Linked DNA regions of Rattus norvegicus. The protein of the gene in region 3 binds, or shares a complex with, the protein of the main gene of each other region. Links are inferred from orthologs where the notes say so. Each region holds a gene or a part of one and is shown on either strand. Other genes may lie near its edges. The genes, in order: Frs2, Ntf4 and Ntrk2.

Evidence for each region.
Region 1: the proteins of Ntrk2 (region 3) and Frs2 are in contact, whole or in part, in an NMR structure (PDB 2MFQ), measured with the Homo sapiens proteins. The link is inferred for Rattus norvegicus from reciprocal best matches to the Homo sapiens genes NTRK2 and FRS2. Residues at the interface, in NP_001018074.1 of Homo sapiens: Pro498, Asp499, Val501, Ile503, Gly504, Met505, Thr506, Lys507, Ile508, Pro509, Val510, Ile511, Glu512, Asn513, Pro514, Gln515, Tyr516, Gly518, Ile519; in NP_001036020.1 of Homo sapiens: Val26, Asp27, Asp28, Asp29, Gly30, Tyr59, Leu60, Cys61, Leu62, Arg63, Arg64, Tyr65, Gly66, Tyr67, Asp68, Ser69, Asn70, Leu71, Phe72, Ser73, Gly77, Arg78, Ile86, Ala88, Lys90, Phe98, Gln102, Met105, Gln106, Ser109.
Region 2: the proteins of Ntrk2 (region 3) and Ntf4 are in contact, whole or in part, in a crystal structure (PDB 1HCF), measured with the Homo sapiens proteins. The link is inferred for Rattus norvegicus from reciprocal best matches to the Homo sapiens genes NTRK2 and NTF4. Residues at the interface, in NP_001018074.1 of Homo sapiens: Phe291, Glu293, Thr296, Ser297, Asp298, His299, Cys302, Pro304, Thr306, His335, Val336, His343, Gly344, Cys345, Asn350, Thr352, His353, Met379, Gly380, Trp381, Pro382, Gly383; in NP_001382418.1 of Homo sapiens: Gly81, Val82, Ser83, Glu84, Thr85, Ala86, Ser89, Arg90, Arg91, Gly92, Glu93, Leu94, Ala95, Asp98, Ala99, Ser101, Gly102, Trp103, Thr105, Tyr135, Phe137.

Annotation. Positions count from the first base shown.
Region 1 is NC_086025.1:54,675,177-54,681,579, forward strand, and holds the start of Frs2 (fibroblast growth factor receptor substrate 2), read right to left. Parts: upstream 3,481-6,403; 5' UTR 3,336-3,480; intron 3,173-3,335; exon of another isoform or gene 2,959-3,172; intron 1-2,958. UniProt on the Homo sapiens protein: Adapter protein that links activated FGR and NGF receptors to downstream signaling pathways.
Region 2 is NC_086019.1:105,027,202-105,033,582, reverse strand, and holds Ntf4 (neurotrophin-4 precursor), read right to left. Parts: upstream 3,549-6,381; 5' UTR 3,476-3,548; intron 3,416-3,475; exon of another isoform or gene 2,947-3,415; intron 2,559-2,946; 5' UTR 2,438-2,558; intron 1,849-2,437; 5' UTR 1,837-1,848; coding exon 1,207-1,836; 3' UTR 717-1,206; downstream 1-716. UniProt on the Homo sapiens protein: Target-derived survival factor for peripheral sensory sympathetic neurons. May promote ameloblast differentiation and subsequent reduction in proliferation of ameloblasts.
Region 3 is NC_086035.1:5,566,543-5,572,134, forward strand, and holds part of Ntrk2 (BDNF/NT-3 growth factors receptor isoform 1 precursor), read right to left. Parts: intron 1,657-5,592; coding exon 1,498-1,656; intron 1-1,497. UniProt on the Homo sapiens protein: Receptor tyrosine kinase involved in the development and the maturation of the central and the peripheral nervous systems through regulation of neuron survival, proliferation, migration, differentiation, and synapse formation and plasticity.

The DNA.
Region 1 (6,403 bases), on a different chromosome or scaffold from region 3:
TAAACCATCCAGGTCATCTGAGACACTTTTCTCCACATCATGAGCCTTCTCATCTCTAAATTGTCGTTCTCTTAATATGAAAGGCCTTCCTTATCCACAAATCCTACTCCTGAATATTTGTTTCAGTAGAGTTTAACCCTCAGTCACCAATTAATTTAAGATTGCCAGTTTAAGAGCAAGGTAGAGTAGGACATGCCTGTACTCCCAAACAGACGCAGGAGGGCTAGGCTGCAGATGACAAGTTCAAGTTCATCCCTAGGCCTACTTGAGATGTAGGAGGCCCTGTCTCAGAAACCACAATAAATAAAAAGAATACAAGCTTGTTGGGAAGTAGCACCATGAAGTAGAAATACCAGCTCTCTGACAAGGCAGATGTGGCTTCAAATACAGACAGTTCTGCTAGTCACATAACTGTAGGGGGAGTTACTAGACATAGTTGAGATGATGGTATCCTGACTATTCAGAGCGATGCCTACACAGGGAGACCCCTGTCTCAAAAGAAAGAAGCTTCTATATTGTTAAGAAAACACAACTATGGGGTTGGGGATTTAGCTCAGTGGTAGAGCGCTTGCCTAGGAAGCGCAAGGCCCTCGGTTCAGTCCCCAGCTCCGAAAAAAAGAACCAAAAAAAAAAAAAAAGAAAAAAGAAAAAAGAAAACACAACTATAACAGAACTAAGCACCCAATAAATCATTGCACTGACCTACCCTAACAAGTGTTGCCGTGCCTTTGTGTTGTAAAGTATGACTTACACTATAGAACAAACATTTTGCTTTTATAGAAGCCCAAACTTTAGATAAACCCATCTATGCGGTTAAGTGTTTACATACGCTTTTTGTTTTCAGTCTTCATTTGTTGTAAACAGGGTCAGCCTAACTAGTAGCTTACCATCCATCATCTTGCCTGTGACTCCTTTGGCACCGCTCGCATGCCACCATCTCCAGACACATATTTATTTATACTGTAAACTTCTATACCAGTATCTTACATCCCCACTAGATTCAAATTCCTAAAGGCCAAACTTAACCTTGTGATTCAAGAGTGCCTAGCACAGTATGCTTCATAAAGCGATCAACAGCCCCCTCCAAATTAAGTCCCAATTCAGAGGAGGGTGAATATTCCTAGACAGTACAATTCAATTCTTCACGATTTCAACACACCTTGGAAGATTATCAAAACATGAATCTGAAATTATAATGGCTTTGTCTTTGTTTTTCCCTACATGGTTCACTAAAAGAGTCTGATGCATAGAAAATGCTCAGTATCATTTGAATTGACTTGAGCAATAGTTAAAAGTTACAATGCCTAGGGCTGGAGAGATGGCTCAGCGGTTAAGAATACTGACTGCTCTTCCAGAAGTCCTGAGTTCAAATCTCAGCCACCACATGGTAGCTCACAACCATTTGTAATGAGATCCGATGCCCTCTTCCAGTGTGTCTGAAGAGAGTGACAGTGTACTTACATACATAAAATAAATAGGTCTTTTAAAAAAAGTTACAATGCCTGAAAGTATCTGCTTTTCACCTATTTCTTATGCTTTCATTAACTCCTATAGTGTTTTCCTTCAAAATACACTATATGCAGAATAGAAATACATAACTTGACTCATTTCCCAGACTTTAATTCAACATCCCAACCTTGGGCTCTGAACAACTGAGTACCTCATATACTAAGAGGCTGACACATCTATCCGAGTCTAAACACTGTGCAACTTATCCTCACATTTTCCCACACGCATAAAAAATGCATCCCCTTTGTTTTCTGTCAACAACCTTGACACAGATTTGGGGGTTCTGGAGAGATTGCTTGCATGCAAAGAGCTTGCTGAACAAGCATGAGGACCCAGATTGGCATCTACAGCACCCACATAAAAACTAGATGCTGGGGTCATGTGCCTATAACCGCTAGACCTGGACTGGGCACACGGGGTAAACACAGGAGGGCCCCTGGGGCTTGCTGGCTCTAGCCAAAAGGACAAGCTCCAAGCTCAGGAAACCCTCTCTCAAAATGATGATGAGGATGATCATGATAATGATCACAACGATGGGTTATTCTATGGAGACAGCCAATGTGAACCTCTGGCATTACACACAGAGAACTTTTTTAATGAAATAAATTTTCTTTTGCATAAGACAGTTTATGGAACTTGTCACTTCAGATCATTCCCCTCATTCATAATACTATCTTCCCTTCCAGTAGTGCAAGGAGAGAGAATAAGTACAAGAAAGAGAGAGACACAGACAAGACAAAAACAAAACAGTATGAACGCTAACGTCAGCACAATAAGAAGTACAGATAATGTCACTGCTTTCATGAAGATGACTTGTGTATACGTGACACTACAAGGTCATCTGCAACAAATAAACTATCTGATTATAATTTAAAACTCAAAAAAAAAGCGAAAAATAGCTCCATTATTTCCTATAAACCTTTCATCGGTAGTTTATCACCTAAACTTCGTTTATTAACAGTGCCTACAAGATTTTCAAACTGGGGTAGAAAAGGATACCATTTTCCAGCCCTTCGCAGTCAACTTGTGCAAGGTCCCGACTGAACTCTTAAAACTGTGTCTTCGGATGAGCGCAGGAATTCGGAAGGCTGATTAGAGAATAGCATCTTTTTTTCCCCTTTACGTAAGCAAGAACACGGGGAAACTCATATGAATCTACGATTCTCCTCAAACCTTTGTTTTTAAGAAGTAACTCCCAACAGTTTCAACTTTCAAGTGAGCGAAAAACCCTTCGAGGAACCATACAGTCTCAATGACCGACCCTATGCAGGCATCCAGACTCTGTTATGTTTCGAGTCCAAATCGAACCCTGGCGACCCTGACGCAGATCTAGATGAAAAGCCCCGCACGAGATTGCCAGCATCCACAGAGGGAGCGCCCCACCCTCGGATTGAGACTACACCCCTGGGAGACACACGATAATTACTGAGCCGGGAAGGGAGGACAGACCCAAGCCAAGAGGCGACGAAAGTCGGGCACTGATGTCCGGGACAGTCTTGCTGTTCAGGTCCCCAGCGCCCGGGTGCACAGACCCCACAGCGGAGGCACCGAGCCTACTTGCCCGAGCAAAGAGGTGGTAGCAGAGCGGACGGCCCGGCCCCACTCAGGAGTCCCCTTAGCGGCCGGGGCTCCGGGAACCCGCTCCTGCTGCGCCCCGCCCACTCCGCGGCCCCGCAACGCGCCTCTTCCCGGCCCGCGGGCCGCGCGCGCTCCGCGGTGGCCGACGACCCCCTTTTCGGACCCCGACAGCTGAACCTGCTGTGGACAGCCGGGTCCGAGGCTCGCCCGCCCGGCGCAGGCCCCGCTCGGCTTCCCCGGCTACTCACCGTCGGCGCGAAGGCGCTGCGAGGGCGCGGGGTAGCGGCCGCAGAGCTCCTCACTCTCTCCGCGACCCGACCCCCTACTCCGAGCCGACGGAGCCTCGGCGCCTGTATCTACCAGGCCTTTCTCCAGCCCGAACCCTAGGCAAGCACTTCCGGGGGAGCGGGGGAGGGCAGGGTTTTGGCACCGGAACTGCTCCCAGGCTGGAGCTGCCAGCCCTCCCGGGAGGGGCGGAGCCTCCGTTCCCAGCGCCAGCGGACCCGCCCCCGGGCTCCTTGCTAACCCGTGGTCCCGCGGGCCCCAGGCTACGGCTGACACCCCTTATTTTAACGGCTGTTAGGATCTTTCCCTTCCAGCCACCTAGTTTTACAGAAGCTCGGAGAATCTAGTTTAGCCCAATGCATTCACCCGGCTTGCCAACTGGCCCGCGGTGTTATCCTTACTCGCTTCTGTCCCGCTTGAAAATGCAGTTGACATTTATGGAAGGAAGGCTTACGGCGTGGTAGAGAGTACAATCATTACGCGCTTCGGCGGCATTAACTCTTTTAATAACCTTCAAACTCCTGGAAATTGGTGCTTTTATTCTCTATGCCTTACCAGGAAGGAAACCGGCCAGGTATCAAACGTTACCACATATGCTGGCTCTTGGTTTTACTTTAATTTGTGGTATTCGTAGAAATCTCATTTGCCCCAAACAAGACTTTTTCGAATTATTCTAAGACAGGAGCCAAACTGTATTTCCCTATATCGGTCATCCTTTGCACCTTCAACAAAGTCTGAGATGATGAGCTCTACAATCTTAAGGCCAGAATCCTGTTACTTTACATTTCACCCTGGGGTATGTTCATCTCTGGATCGTAGAAGTTAAAAATAATATAATGCATGGTAAACATTTCAGAGTACCCAGGACTGAATAAGTCCACACAATTCTTAGACCTAACCAGTAACAAGCAATAGAGAAGACCTGGGCACTTTTGAAACTGACCAAAGACAGTATGAGAGCCAGATGTCAGGCAGGGAAGAGAGACCATCTTAAAAGATGATTTCCTCTGCCACAAAATCAAGAAATGCATCAAATATTGAAGGCAGGTTTTCAGTCTGAAGTGAAACCCGACAAAGAAGAAAAGGGCCCAAGCCTGGCGAGGTAATTTGTTTCTGTATTTCCAGCAGTCTAAAAAGGCTGAGGCAGGGAGAGTTCGGAGAGTTTCTGGCCAGCCTAGGCTTTACAGTGAGTTTCCAGAAAAAAGGGTCCAGGACTATGTAGCAAAATTCTTGTCCAAAAAGACATGGGGGTGGGGGGGAAGAAGGAAGAAAAAGTTATTTTAGCATGCATAGTGTCTGTTCAATACTGCAGGGAACAGTTTTAAAACATTCTGTTTTGAGAAAGGCAGGGTAAAAGAAAACCCCTTATTACAAATTCAAGATGCAAACAATCCCATCACTATTGCTTTATTTAAAGCACTGCCTTGTGTTTTATGTAATTGCAGAAATGTTTGTAAATACGTCCAGAATTCTCAAGTTCAAGCAGCCTCCTAGTAGACTGAAGGAAAAAAAAAAAAATTGAGCCTGCACAGGCAAAACTTCGGCTGTCTCCAGCCATTTACCATACCCATACCCACCCCCAATCCCAGGCACAAGCACACGTGCGGGGGCGCGCGTGTACACACACACACACACACACACACACACACACACACACACACACACACACACACACACGGCCTAGAGACCTAGAGAAGGGAACCCTCAATCACAGACTGTCATATAACTGGTAAGTGGTGAAGCCTGGATTTAAAAGTGAATCTGTGTTCTCAGATGCTTTTCGCCACGCTGCCAGCCAATTCTCAAGCTTGAAAGTGCATGGCAATCACCTGGAGGGCTTGTTAAACAAATTGCTGGGCCCCATCCCCAACCTTTCACTTACCCAGGGTAGTGCCTCTCAAGGTGTGTCCCTGGTCTGGCAGCTCAACATCACCTGGGAACTTATTAAAGATGCAAATTACCAGGCCCCGCCCACACCTTGTAAAGCTGTAACTCTAGGATTAGACGCAACAATCCTAGTTTAAAACTAGTTTAAAAAAGTCCCTCCTCCCCAACCAGGGCATCTGATAAAAGGTGGAGTTAAAGAACTACAGCATTCTAGTAGCCTATCTTTTGCATATTCTTTTCTTAGTTGTGGCAAATCTACAGCTTGGGATCCTTCTTGTTGCGGGGAGAGGAGTGTTAGTTTTGTAGTGTTGGGGATTCAAGTCTGTCTCTAAGCCCATTGGAAGCAAATGCCGCTGAGCTACACTCGTAGTCAGGAGAAAAAAAAAAAAAGAAAGAAAGAAAGGAAGAAAGAGAAGAGAAAACAAGGCTTCCCGTTAACTAAATGACATTTTAGAGCAGTCTTATTCATTCTTTTCTTTCCACATGAGATAAAAATGGGGAAAATGAGTTTTAATGGGAGACTTCTTTTCGATTTGTACTGACACCAAACCAGATGATTCTGAGGTGGGGGTGGGGTGAAACAAACCTTACTTGAGACCTGCTTGGTGGTGTCGGAGGCTTTACGTGCGTTTTTCTAAATTAATCTTCGATGTGCTGTGAGGTTTTATGGTCTCACTTTTACAAATGGGAATAGCTGAGACCGAGGTGAAGTAATTGACTTAAGGCCACATTCTTGTTCCGGGGTAGAAACGGGATTGCTCAAAGATCCCCCTAATTCCAAAGCTCTTGCGCTTTCCACTTTGTGGCTGGAGCCCGGAGAAGCAAATTCCAGCGGCTCCACCACCCAGCCACGCAGCATTGAGTAAGCGATTTAATCTCTATTTTCAATTTCTCCATCTATAAATAATGCTATCATAAATCTGCCCTTCCCACACTAGAATGTCAGAAGAAATGAGGGAATAAAAATGTTTTTAGCTCTTTGAAGAAAAACAGTAAAAAAAAAAAAAAAAGGCAAATTATAGTGTTGTGGATTTAGACACACATCGCTCACATTTGTGAGCTTGGGCTTTGGAGTTTTTGTGTTTCTTCCCTGATTCTTATAGAAAACCGCCCCACTCCCCTTCCCCCCCAAAAAAATGTTTTT
Region 2 (6,381 bases), on a different chromosome or scaffold from region 3:
ACTTGGGAGGCAGAAGCAGAAGATAAATTCAAAGTCGAGCCACACAGTGGTGATATAAGCCTTTAACGGCAGTGTTAGGGAGAAAAAGACAGGCAGCTCTTTGAGTTTGAAGCCAACCCGGTCTACAGATCGAGTTTCAGGACAGCCAGGGCTACACAGAGAACCCTGTCTTGGGTGGGGTGGGGGGAGTTCAAGGTCTGCCCTCCACTGAGCTGCATGAGGAGACTGTCTCCACATCAGAGCTGAACAAAAAGACTAAGGGCCGTTCCAGATGTGAGGTGTCTGTGCTTGCACTCCTCGTGGGGTTGGGCTCACTACTTAGGGCAGGATGGATGGATGTATTCCACAGAACGCTTGCACACCTTAGTCAGGTCAGACTTCCCCGGTAAACCTAGGCTCCTGGGGAATTCACTGCCTTTCCCTGATCACATCCTCACTGTTCCAGGGCTAGTCGCTTCTTTTGTTTTCCCATATGACCCATTTGCCCTTGCCCCAGACAGGTCAGTTTAAAAGTATGTAACCCAAGCTGCCCTGGACCTCCAGGCACTCTTCTGTCTGCAGCCTCTCAAGTATTAGGACTACAGGTACATGTCATAACACCCAGTCCCAGGTCTTTTTAGTTTATTAAGATAGACCCTCATATAGACAAGACTGGCTTCAAACTCCCTATGTAGCTGAGGATGGCCACAAACTCCTCATCCACCTGTCTTTTCCTCCCAAGAACTGGCACTGCAGATGAGTACCACCGTGCATGGTTTATGATACGGTGCTCAGGATAGAGCCCAGGACTGTGTGCATGCTAGGCAACCAGAAACAGCCTACTGATCGAGGCCTAGCCCCAGCTCATACATTGATTTTTCACGTAGTCTTTCCTCGTCTCTCTTGCCAGGGTAAGTCAGGGTCCTCTGATGTTAAAATGGTTAGCAGAGTCACACATTAGGTCTGATACACAGTAGATAGTAAACATTGGCTATTATTAATGTCAAGTTCCTTCGGGAGAACTCCTATTCATCAGTTGAAACCCCATTTGGTTTCCTCATACATTCCACACAGACTGAGCTCTCAAAATGAGAGAGATTTGATTCTGTGGTTATTTCAGTTCACAGTCAGAAGGCACGGTAGAGCAGTCGAGCCATCCCTGTGGTCCTTTCAGCATCCAGGGTTTTTTTTTTCCTCCTCAACCTGAGCGGTTCCCAAGCCTGGACGTCAGGCACGGCCTGTTCGGCTGAGGAGCGTGCAGACGCAAGCGGTGTCGATCCGAATCCAGCGCCAGCCCACGCGGCCCTGAGAGTCTGCAGTCAACGCCCGCACATAGGACTGTTTAGCCTTGCATTCTGAGAGCCAGTGCCTCCGATCCACGCCGCGACAGCCCCCTCCGCCCACACCTGGGCCACCTTCCCCAGCGCTTTCGGCCTTGCAGCGCGTCTCGAAGAAGTACTGACGCAGGGGACTGCCACCTGCCGCAGGCACCTCGCCCAGCACCTCCACCTCGCGCCCACGCAAGTCCACAGCTGTCCGCCGGTCGGTCACCCAGCCACTCACTGCATCGCACACTGCCAGCTCACCCCGGCGGCTTGCCGGTGCCGTCTCACTCACCCCGCGCCGGCTGCGGTTGGCTGGGGCCCCTGCCGGCTCCCCATAGGCCCCGGCCTCCAGCAGGAAGAGGAGAGGGGGCCCGGCAGGGGTGCCCCTTGACAGGGCCACTCGGGGAGACAAGAGGTCCCACTCAGGAGCCAGAAAAGGGGGCAGGGTGGAGGAGGGGGGTTGGGGCTCCATGGGGACGCTGGGGAGGAGGAGAAGGAAAAGGAGGAGAGAGCAGGAGTGGCGAGGGAGCATGGCTTTGCACACCTGAAGATGGAGAAAGAGGTTGTTGTTAGAGAAGGACAACACTAGTGACAGAAGTCAGGGACCCCTCCTCCTGCCCCACCCGTGGGCAGATATCAGCTTGGTAGACTATGGGAGGACCTTAGGGGTACCTTATGCTCTAGAACTGGTGGAATGCTTAGCTTTTAGGTTAATGATAAGTATTCAGTTAATGTAAATAAATAGACAAAATTGGGTGTGGTGATGCACACCTGTAGCCTTAGCAACCAGGAGGCACAGGCAGAAGGTGGCCACAAGTTTGAAGCCTGTCCCGTTTACATGAGTTCCACGTCAGCTAAGGCAGTACAGTCAAACACAAGGAGAAATGCTTTCCACCGGGTCACGCAGCCGGGGGAAGTGGCGTGGGTCAGATTTGAACTCTGTGCAATGCCACTTGGCCTTCGTGGTCCTATAACCTGAAGGAGCCCTCGAATCCTGCGGTTTTCAAGGCTTTAATTTCCCTGAGTATGAGACTGACTCGGCTGCTGGGAGATGCTGGGAGGGAGATGGAGAGACTAGAACATTCTAGAAGCTGGGCCAGGACTGGAAAGCAGCAGGTGAATGAATACCAGACCTGTCAACAGCACCTCCACCTCCTCACTCTGGGGCTGGGGGCCCCCAGGCTGTGTGGGGCCCCTGTGTAGGATACAGGTAGTCTCCTCCCTGACATCTCAGGAGAAGGAGGGGGCAACCACCTGTGGGAGGAAGGAAACCAGTTACATAGGCGGTAGGGGGAAGGGTGCAACCGCTCCATAAAAAGATATCTTTCCAGAGTCTTTGAAAGCCTAGGGTACCCTGGAGTAGAGGCTCCGCCCACCTCCAGAGGACGCCCCCCCTCCCCCGTGCAGGTGACAGCTTTGGAGGGATGGGAAGCAGATGGGGGCAGAGAGGAGGGGCAGGTGAGGCAACTGGAAGAGATTACATCCCCTCCTCCCGTTCCTCTACTAAACGCGGCGGGGGTGGAGCTGGCCTGGACACCCGGGTCCCCGCCGACCCACGCTCTGGGTCCCTGAGGCTGCTTCCTGGAATGTTCGCTCCTCGCAGGACAGGCCAGGGCCCGCCCAAGACTCCGACTGCGCATACCTGGAGTGTCTGGCTGGCCAGGCTCCGAGGTGGGGGAATGGGAAGTGTTGAGTGTGATCAGGGGCAGAGGTTTACCACACCACTACAGGGAGTGAGGGTGCCCGCTGCCTCCTCCGTCAGACTGTGTGCAGGCCCACAGCTGTCTCCTTCCTCAGACCCAGGGGCCCAAGGCCCCTGAACCATCCTCCCTCAGCGAGGGTGACCTGGTTCCCCAGATGCCTCCTCCTGCAGACTAAGTTTCTTGGACTTCAGACGCCTCCTCCCTCAGACCCACAGGTTCTAGGGTTGCGGCCCCTCCTCCAAGATACTCATAAATGGAGATTCCCTGCTTTCACATCCAAGAAAATTGGGCTGGGGGTCCCTGCTCTTGAGTCGGTTGGAGGGGGACCCGCTCCAACTCTGGGAGACTTCCGTCCTGCCTCAGTTTCCTTCGCCAAACCCCGCCCCCGTCGGCCCCGCCCCCGTCCCTCCCTACCCGGGGGCCGGGCGACCTGGACCGAATCTGCCAGAGGAGGCGCGGAGCTCTTACCTGGGGCGCCCTTCTCTGCTCCCCGGCTGCCCCTGGCGCCGCTGCGGCTCCTCCTCCGGCTCGCTAGCAGCTCGGACGCCCGCTGCTCGCCGGCTGCTCGCCGTTTGCGCTTGGGAGGGCCTGGGTCTGGGAGGAGGCGGGGCGGCGCCCGACGGCGGAGGAGGGGCGGCGGATCCCGCCTAGCACGCGCGGGCCGGCACCTCGGAAGCCCGGCCTTGGCCACTTCAGTTCTAGAAGTCTAGGCTGTAACCCTCCTCCATCAGACACTGGGGTTCACACCCAACCCCTCCTACGTTAGACCCGAAGGTCCAGGCTTCAGCCCTCCTTCAGACACAGGGGTCCAGACCCCAGTCCTCCTCCCTTGGACTCAGTGTTCAGAACCCCAACCCTTCCCTTCAGACCTGGATTCAGGCCTGGAATTGCTATGGTGTCTAGTGCAGGTTCCCACCCTCCGCTCCTGTCTCCCCTTCTGGGTCTCCCAGCCAGACATTAGCCAGCTGGGCTTGTGCAGTGATAAGGCTCAATTCTTGGAGACAGTGACTGTCCGGGCTCCCCCACATAGTCTTCTATCCTGGAATTTCTTGGCCGGGGACCAGGAAGTCTTGGGGTGGATAAGAAAACTTAAAGGTAATTAGAGCGAGGAGACCATGATGGGTTTTCAGAACTGTGACCTCCCTAGCGAAACAGCTGTGACCACAAGGAAGACGGGGGGGGGGGGGGAACCCAGCCAGAGAGACAGCCCTAGGAGGAGGAAAACACCCCAACGGGTGGACCTCAGAACGAAAGGCGGGATGCTGAAGAGACCTCAAGCAGAGTGTGCCTGCAACAGAAGGGCCCCAGGGTGGCAGGGCCCTTTCCTCTGCCATGCCCCCACTCTAGGACTCCAGTTCCCCTACCCCCGAGCTATATTTAGGAGGAAAGCTGACACTCGCCTTTGGGGGGGTCACCCAGCACCCATCCCCCCAACCTAAATATAGCATGGCAAAGTGGCAGGAAGGGTGTCCCCGGATTAGGGTGTTCCCCTCAAGGTGCCATCCCAGCCAGGGTGACTCAGACCCCACTCCAGTTGTTTACTGGCAGTGGGATGGGACACTTCCTAGTCTGGGTGTCCATTTGGGTCACCTCTCTGACCTTTCATTCTTTCCTGACACTGTCCATCCCTCCCAAGGGGCCCCAACTCCAGTCTCTGGGCATCAAGGGAGAAGGCTATAAAGAGGGAGAAAGTCTGTCTTTTGTCTTGGTTCTCTCTCTCCCTCTGTCTGTCGGTCTGTCTGTCTGTTTCTCTGTCTCCGTTTCTCTCTCTGACTCTCCCCCTCTCTCCCTCCCTCTCCTTCTCTCCTCCCCTCCCTTCCCTCTCCTGTTCTCTGAGCTGTTTTCCCTTCTGCCTGGCATCTGTTTTCTCTCCAGGGCCTGCTTCCCCCTCTGCCCCCAGCACCTCTTCCCTGTATTCTGTGATGGTGTCCGTGTCCTACATCTGTCTTTGGTCCCTGTGTGCAGATCCATCTCCATTTCTGCGACAGTGGGTCTGTTGGAGTGCTGTGCCCACCTTGAGATTCTGTCATGTCCTTTACATCACACCCTTGCCACTGTCCCTCCTTCCTCTCTCTCATATGGTAATATGGGTGGTGAAGATGGCTCCCCACATCCTTTCCCTGATGGCTCATGGCTCAGATGGCTCAGAGGAGCCAAATCCTCCTGACAGCCCCTCTAAGATGCCTCACCTTCAGGTCTTAAGCAAGAGTTCATATGACTACAGCAGGTGACATCGTTATCAAAAATAACTCAACACTAGGCACCGGTGAACAGGTTTTAATAAGTTAATGCCAGTCAAATACCTTGAACTCTTGTTAGTGATTGTGACCTCTCCTGCTCCCCAGAATGTGTCTCAGTCCCAGGAGACTCCAAAAATGTTTCCCTGGAGCTTAGGGTAATTCTGTTCCCTCCAATATCAGCTTCCTCCTAGAAGAGGCAGGGTCTTGCCAGACATGGTGACCTTCCCACAGCTTTAATCTTATCACTTGGGAGGCAGAGACAGGAGGAGCTCTGTGAATTCAAGGCCAGCCTGGTCTACATAGTGAGTTCCAGGACAGCCAGGGCTACATAGAGGGACCCTGTTTCAAAGGATTAAAACAAAACAAAAGACACAGGACCAGTGGCCTTGGGCAATACCTGAATACCAGAAGTTGTGGGGGTGTCACAGGTAGGCCACCTGCCACCAGCCCTGGCCCTATGACGTGCTGGGTAACCTTGGGGGAAGCCACAGCACTTTACAGCCTTGGGTTTCTGTCCTAGGAAACACAGGGCACCTCCAGGATTATGGTGACCTTCCTTGGCTGGAAGGGATGCTGACACCATGGCTTAGAGTCTGTTATGACTCAGAGAGCAGAGAGGGAGACCCTTGGGCTCCAGGTTTCTCTCGAAACACCCACCTCTCACGCACACCTCCCTCTTCTGCATGTCTGATATCTGTCACTGGGTGTCCATCTCTCATGATTGATTTCTTCCCCCTCTCTGTCTCTCCCTCCCTCCCTCCATCCTTTCTTCCCTTCCCTTCCCTCCCCCTCTCCTCTTCCTTCTCTCCATCATTCTCTCTCCTTCTAGATCTCTGTCTCCTGCCACATCTTTTCCAGATACCTACTCTTCCCCTACTGCGTTTTCTTTCCTTGGGGCTCCAGTCTCTGAATCTCTGTACTACAGCATGGGACAACATAGAAATGGGTCCCCTGTGAGTGAGGTAAGCAGACTGCTAGTCCCCAGTCTTTCCAGGTGATTGGGGCAGGGGGACTCAGGGAGACAGAAACTACCAGCTGTACAGTGCATATCCCTGAGCAAGCCGTTCCATGGGCCACACCCATCCGCATGCCCACGCTTGCTCCCATGCAGTTAGCTTTATCTGTGCTGTGACC
Region 3 (5,592 bases):
GGTGTGTGCTGATTAGGTCAGGACAATTAGCATGTGTATCTTCTTAACCCTTTACCAACAGAAAAGGCTTTCGTTTGTAGGTGTGGTCTTGCTATGTAGCCCATGTTGGCCTTGAACTCATGACCCTCTTGCCTCAGCCTCAGAGGAAGCCCTCTCGCTGTTTTCTCACAAGGAGGAGAGCCACTATGATTTCACAAAACTGGTATAGGCACAATTTATTCACAAAGGGTCACCTGAATTCCACACAGAAATTCTGGGTTTTACTGAGTAAGGGTAGAGCCTGAGTTTTGTGTGAAGTGAGGACTGACAGGGACACCCTGACAGCAGAAGTGATTAGGATCACTGGTTATCAGGGCTGGGTTTAAAAACGCATGGATGTGAGAGAGACTGGAGACACCTGACAGAAGTGCTACACGTCACACAGACGTGCTGCCGTCTCTCGGTATCCACGGGCTCCAGACGTGCACCCAAACAGCAGCAGACTGGGAATCCGTGAGGAGAACGACACCCATACTGGGCACATGCAGATGTTCCTCTTGTCATTACTCCCTAAACACACTGCGTGCTTGCTATCCCCAATGTGTACTGTTGCCGTAAGCTGGAGATGACCCACTGTGTGCTTGCTATCCCCAATGTGTACTGTTGCTGTAGGCTGGAGATGACCCACTGTGTGCTTGCTCTTCCTAATGTGTACTGTTGCTGTAAGCTGGAGATGACCCACTGCGTGTGCTCGCTATTCCCATAGTGTACTGTTGCTGTAAGCTGGAGATGACCCACTGTGTGCTTGCTATTCCTAATGTGTACTGTTGCTGTGGGCTGGAGATGACCCACTGTGTGCTTGCTATTCCCATAGTGTACTGTTGCTGTAGGCTGGAGATGACCCACTGCGTGCTTGCTATTCCCATAGTGTACTGTTGCTGTAGGCTGGAGATGACCCACATGAAAGAAGATACCAGGGTGGCTTGGGGGATCGGACATTATCGTTGGGTATTAGGAATTTGAGTGTTCTAAATTTGGTCTGGGGTTGTGTGTGGTTCTCAGAATTTCAATGGGTTATGATATTTCGAAAAGGAATCAGAATAGGCAAACAGATTGCTTGAGATTTTTTTCATTTAGTGGTTAGGGTTCTGGCAGAATCTGCAAAGGGGAAGGGCGTGGCGACTTCTCTGGAACAGTGCAGGAACTCCGGCCAGACTGAGGAGCACGGGCCACTGAGGCTGCCCTTGATTTGTTGGACAGTGAGCAATGTAAAATCATCCCTCGGCCCTGTCCTTAGAAGGGGCGAGGCTGGGTCAGAAAAGGTAGTGACTCTCTTTCTCCAGTCAGTCTCTGGGGAAGCTGTTGAGTCAAACAAAGCCACAAGTGGCCATGTCCTGGTTCCCAGCTCTCTCTCTCTCTCTCTCTCTCTCTCTCTCTCTCTCTCTCTCTCTCTGTGTGTGTGTGTGTGTGTGTGTGTGTATGCATGCAGGGTGGGATCTCTCCCAGACAACTGCCCACCTCGTTGTTTGATAGCTGATACCAGGGCTGCTTGCCGTAGGTGAAGATCTCCCACAACACAACTCCCAGGCTCCAGACGTCACTCTCGGTGGTGAATTTCCTGTACATGATGCTCTCTGGAGGCATCCATCGGATGGGCAACATTGTGTGGCCACCAACCTGTCAGGGGAGGCATCAATAGGATGGTCAGTCATCTGGAACCAGTGTGGAGGGTGGCCACGGGGAGGTGGCTCCCTCAAGGGGCGCCGAGGTAATGGAGTCGGAGGGTAGAGAATGGTGGAGACAATGTTATAAATGTCATTTGCAGTTCTCCTCTTCTCGAAGCCAGAGGAGAGCAGAGGGCATTAAGTTGATGTCCATTTTGGATTTAAGAAAGCCCTTGTGCACTTTTCGGTGGGAGAATCAACCCATCCATTCATCCACTAATCAATGTGATAATTTTGACCAAGGTAACAAGCAAAGGGTTCTTCATCCCAGCCTAGCGGTGCCCAGGATGGAAGTTAGTATTCCCATTTTACTGACAAACAACTGAGGTTTTGTATCGAGACTTTAGAGTCTCATCTATGATAGGGTGATGCGACTCATGGATAAATTTACTTTTCAAAGAAAAACACCCATTTTAGTAAAAACAGAAGCCCAGTGTCACCTGGAGATAGCATCTGTGCAACCACAGAAACTTGACTGACAGCCACCCTGGCACTACTGAGGCCATGGGCAGGGACACTCAAGGGCCTGAATTAGACATGGTTCAAGATGGACAGCTCCTAGAGGCACCGCCCAGCTTCCATTCTCAGTATGGGTTTGTGACTTTCTATACAAAGGAGATGAACCTGCCCATGGGTCTGCTGTCATTTCCTCCTAGGGCCATAAACCATGGGGGCACAAATCCTGCCCAACCAGGAGGAAGTACAGTGCAGTGTGGTGTAGCCTGACTGTGAGTCCTCAGCTGACCGACCGCTCAGACAATGAGTAACCGCTGAAGTTCATGGAAGGCCCAACATTTCCCAGTGCTCGGAAGGACTCGTGGCCTGAGGGTAAATGACGTCCCAGGACCTGGTGGCCTTAGCCACAGCAGAGTGAAGACTGGTTCTGATGCTTCCCAAGCCTGATACCCATCCTCCCCTAGCCATAGTCCAGAAAGGTCAGAGAACCCTGGCACACGCATTTTCCAGTAGCTCCTCATGTCGTGCAGCAGTCCTGCCTCCTCCGTGCGTGGTCTTCCCTCAGAACACATTTTGAAAGCTTTCCACGGTTTACGGACGTCTGCCCTTTCCCCATCGAACACACGTGAGACTGCACCGCTGGTTAGCCTTGACACATGGGGCAGACAACTCTAAGGCCTGGCTGTCTCCCCTGGCCTTTCTCATTCACACAGCATAAATGTGCTGGGCCTCATGAGGCCCTAAATACAGCTCTACATAGGACAGTGCTTAGACGGGAGGTCAAAGGGGTTAACCATCCCAGATCTTACTCTTGTCTTACCAACTGCAACTTTTCTTTCTTTTCATCAAAAAAAGCACTCCTACCTGATTAGTTTGCCTTAGCAAGTGCCAAGAGTACCCCAGCCTCCCTTGTGTGTCTGTCCTTATGTCTCATTACCATAAAAAACAGATCCTCCAGGGGTTACAGTGAACCGTTCAGAGTGACAAGTCACAATCTGTAGCTTTGTCTTGTGGCTGTGCTAAGTGTGTTAAGGCATCTGAAGGGGAGAATCTCAAACAGGAAGGTCAAGTGTCTGCTAATATTTCCGGGAAGGCTCAGGGCTGGAGACGGGCACCTGTCTTTCAGTTACTTCTTCTGCAGGTCTTTCTGTAAGAGCCATTTATAAATGTGCTTCTCGGAAATCCTGAAAGGCAAAAGCACCAACTGCATGGTAGAGGAGCCAGCAAAGCCTGGAACTAGATGGGGGGGGGGGGTTAGTGGGGGAAAAGATACAGTCATTTGTTCTGTGGAAATACTCAAGTTATAATCCAGGTTGTGATCAGCGCGTGTTGAAGCATGAACCGAAGTGTCAGACTTTGCACACCAGCCCCAAGCAGTAAGAGCAGCCTCAGGGTCCTCGGGTCCTACCCCGCCAGCCTGTAGCTTGCCCTTTCTTGGACATTGAAATCACAGAGCGTGTTCAAGCATCTGAGAGGTTCAACAAATGGGTAGAGATTTAACTTTCCTGGTTACTGGAGCAAATCAACGTGTATTTGTGGCCTTCTAGAGCTGGCTGTCTATAAACTTTGGGGTGTGCTGATTTTGAGAGCTCTTCCACATTTTTTTTGTTTGTTTTTTTCTCGAGTACCCACAATGCCATACTGTATCCACCACCGATTTGTGATCAGAGGAGACTTTGATCTCCAACATGGACAATGCTGACCAGCAGTAACACTGGTCTGTGTCCTAGTTTCTCTAAATTATGAGAAAGAACCAACACACGGGACTCCCACATTCCCCAGCTGCCAGTGACTTCAAGGCTACGCCACATCTCCTGATCACGACATTTCTTTTCTGCTTGAGTTCTTCGGGTCAGATATTTTCCCCCTTTTGTCTTTATTTCTTTCCAGGTTCTCTGTGGGGATTCCGCATATGTTATGTAGAGAATGCTTTCTCCTGCTTTCAAACGTATGAGTAATGGGATATTCTAACAAGAGTTCATGCAGGAGCCACCAATCTTCTTGGCCCACTTAGAACAACCCTGCGCAGCCCTTTGCAGCTCTTTCCTCAGAATTTTCAGGCATGCCACAAGAAGAGACCCACAAAAGAAACAGTCACCGTGGCAGCAAATGACTGTCATATTTCCGTTGTAATCACTCCACGGCTTTCGGGACATACAGAACTACAGTCTTCTCACTGCAGAGTACAGGGAGCCATTTGTTCTGAACTGTACTGCTTGGCGCCCTGCCCTCACATCCTTGCTTAAATGTTTGCAAGACTGAATATAGTTTTCAAGTATGGCACTGGGAGTCTGAATTTCTGCCTCTGGTTGCCCACTAGCCAGGGATGCTGAGAGATGCTCCAAGAGTCAGGGTGGGGCAGGCTGAGCGCCCTTCCCTGTGGGCAGGCGGGTAGAACAAATGGAGAGAGGAACCCTGAGACCAGTGATTTAGTAACTGTTTCTAGTTCCTGATGCGTTACTTACTAGCAACCACCCTGGGCTGTTCCTGGTGCTCTGTCTGGTTAAATGCATTGGGTTAGGGTAGCCCTCGGATACTCCAATTTGCTACAGTTCTGTAACTACAAACCACCACTTTGCATTGCTAATCATCCATTCCCAGATGGCTTCTCACCCTCTGCAAAGAATCTCCATTCAATTATCCCAAAGTATCCGACAGGACAGCCACTCTCTGGAGAAGATACTGGTTTGCTTGCCCAGAGCCAGATACAAACCAATTTCACTTTGTTCTGATGGTTTTCTTGATGGCCAAACACATGTTCTATGTACAGTCAGAGAGCTGAGTCATGGATGCTCGCCCAGGGAAAACTTATTCATACTTTTTGCAAGGTCTGATCTCCCTGTAGCCGAGGTGGTTTTTTTTTGTTTGTTTGTTTGTTTGTTTTTATTTTTGTTTTGTTTTTTTTAAGGTGGATTCACGTATCCTTTTTTTAAGGAAGCCTCCCTTCTGTAACTCCTTGGCTGTTCAGTGCCCTTAGTGTAGCTGTGCAAACACATCAGATGCTGCCGACTGCTAAGGCATCATACTTTCCTAAAGGAACATCACTAGTAAAGTTAGTTGATGGGGTTGTTGGTGGGCAAAAAGTGGGCTTTTACAAGTGCTGCTGCTTCTGGACAAAGATTCACAGTATGTTCTTTAAGAGGGATTAGTATTCACTACTCTCTGTCCCAAGCACAATTCCTTAAAACAAAGCCTTAGTCCAGATGCAGGGAAAGTCACTTTTATTTGTCGTTTGATGCTGGGGGTGGGGTGATAAGTATTGGGTCGGGTGGAGAGATGGCTCAAAGGTTAATAACTAATATTGCTCCTGCAGAGGACTCAAGTTCAGTTCTAGCCTGAAATTACAGATCAAGAGGTCTCTGACCTCTGTGAACGCTCATGTGTCTGTGTGCATGTGTGCAGATATACACATGCAACTAAAGTGCATATTTTT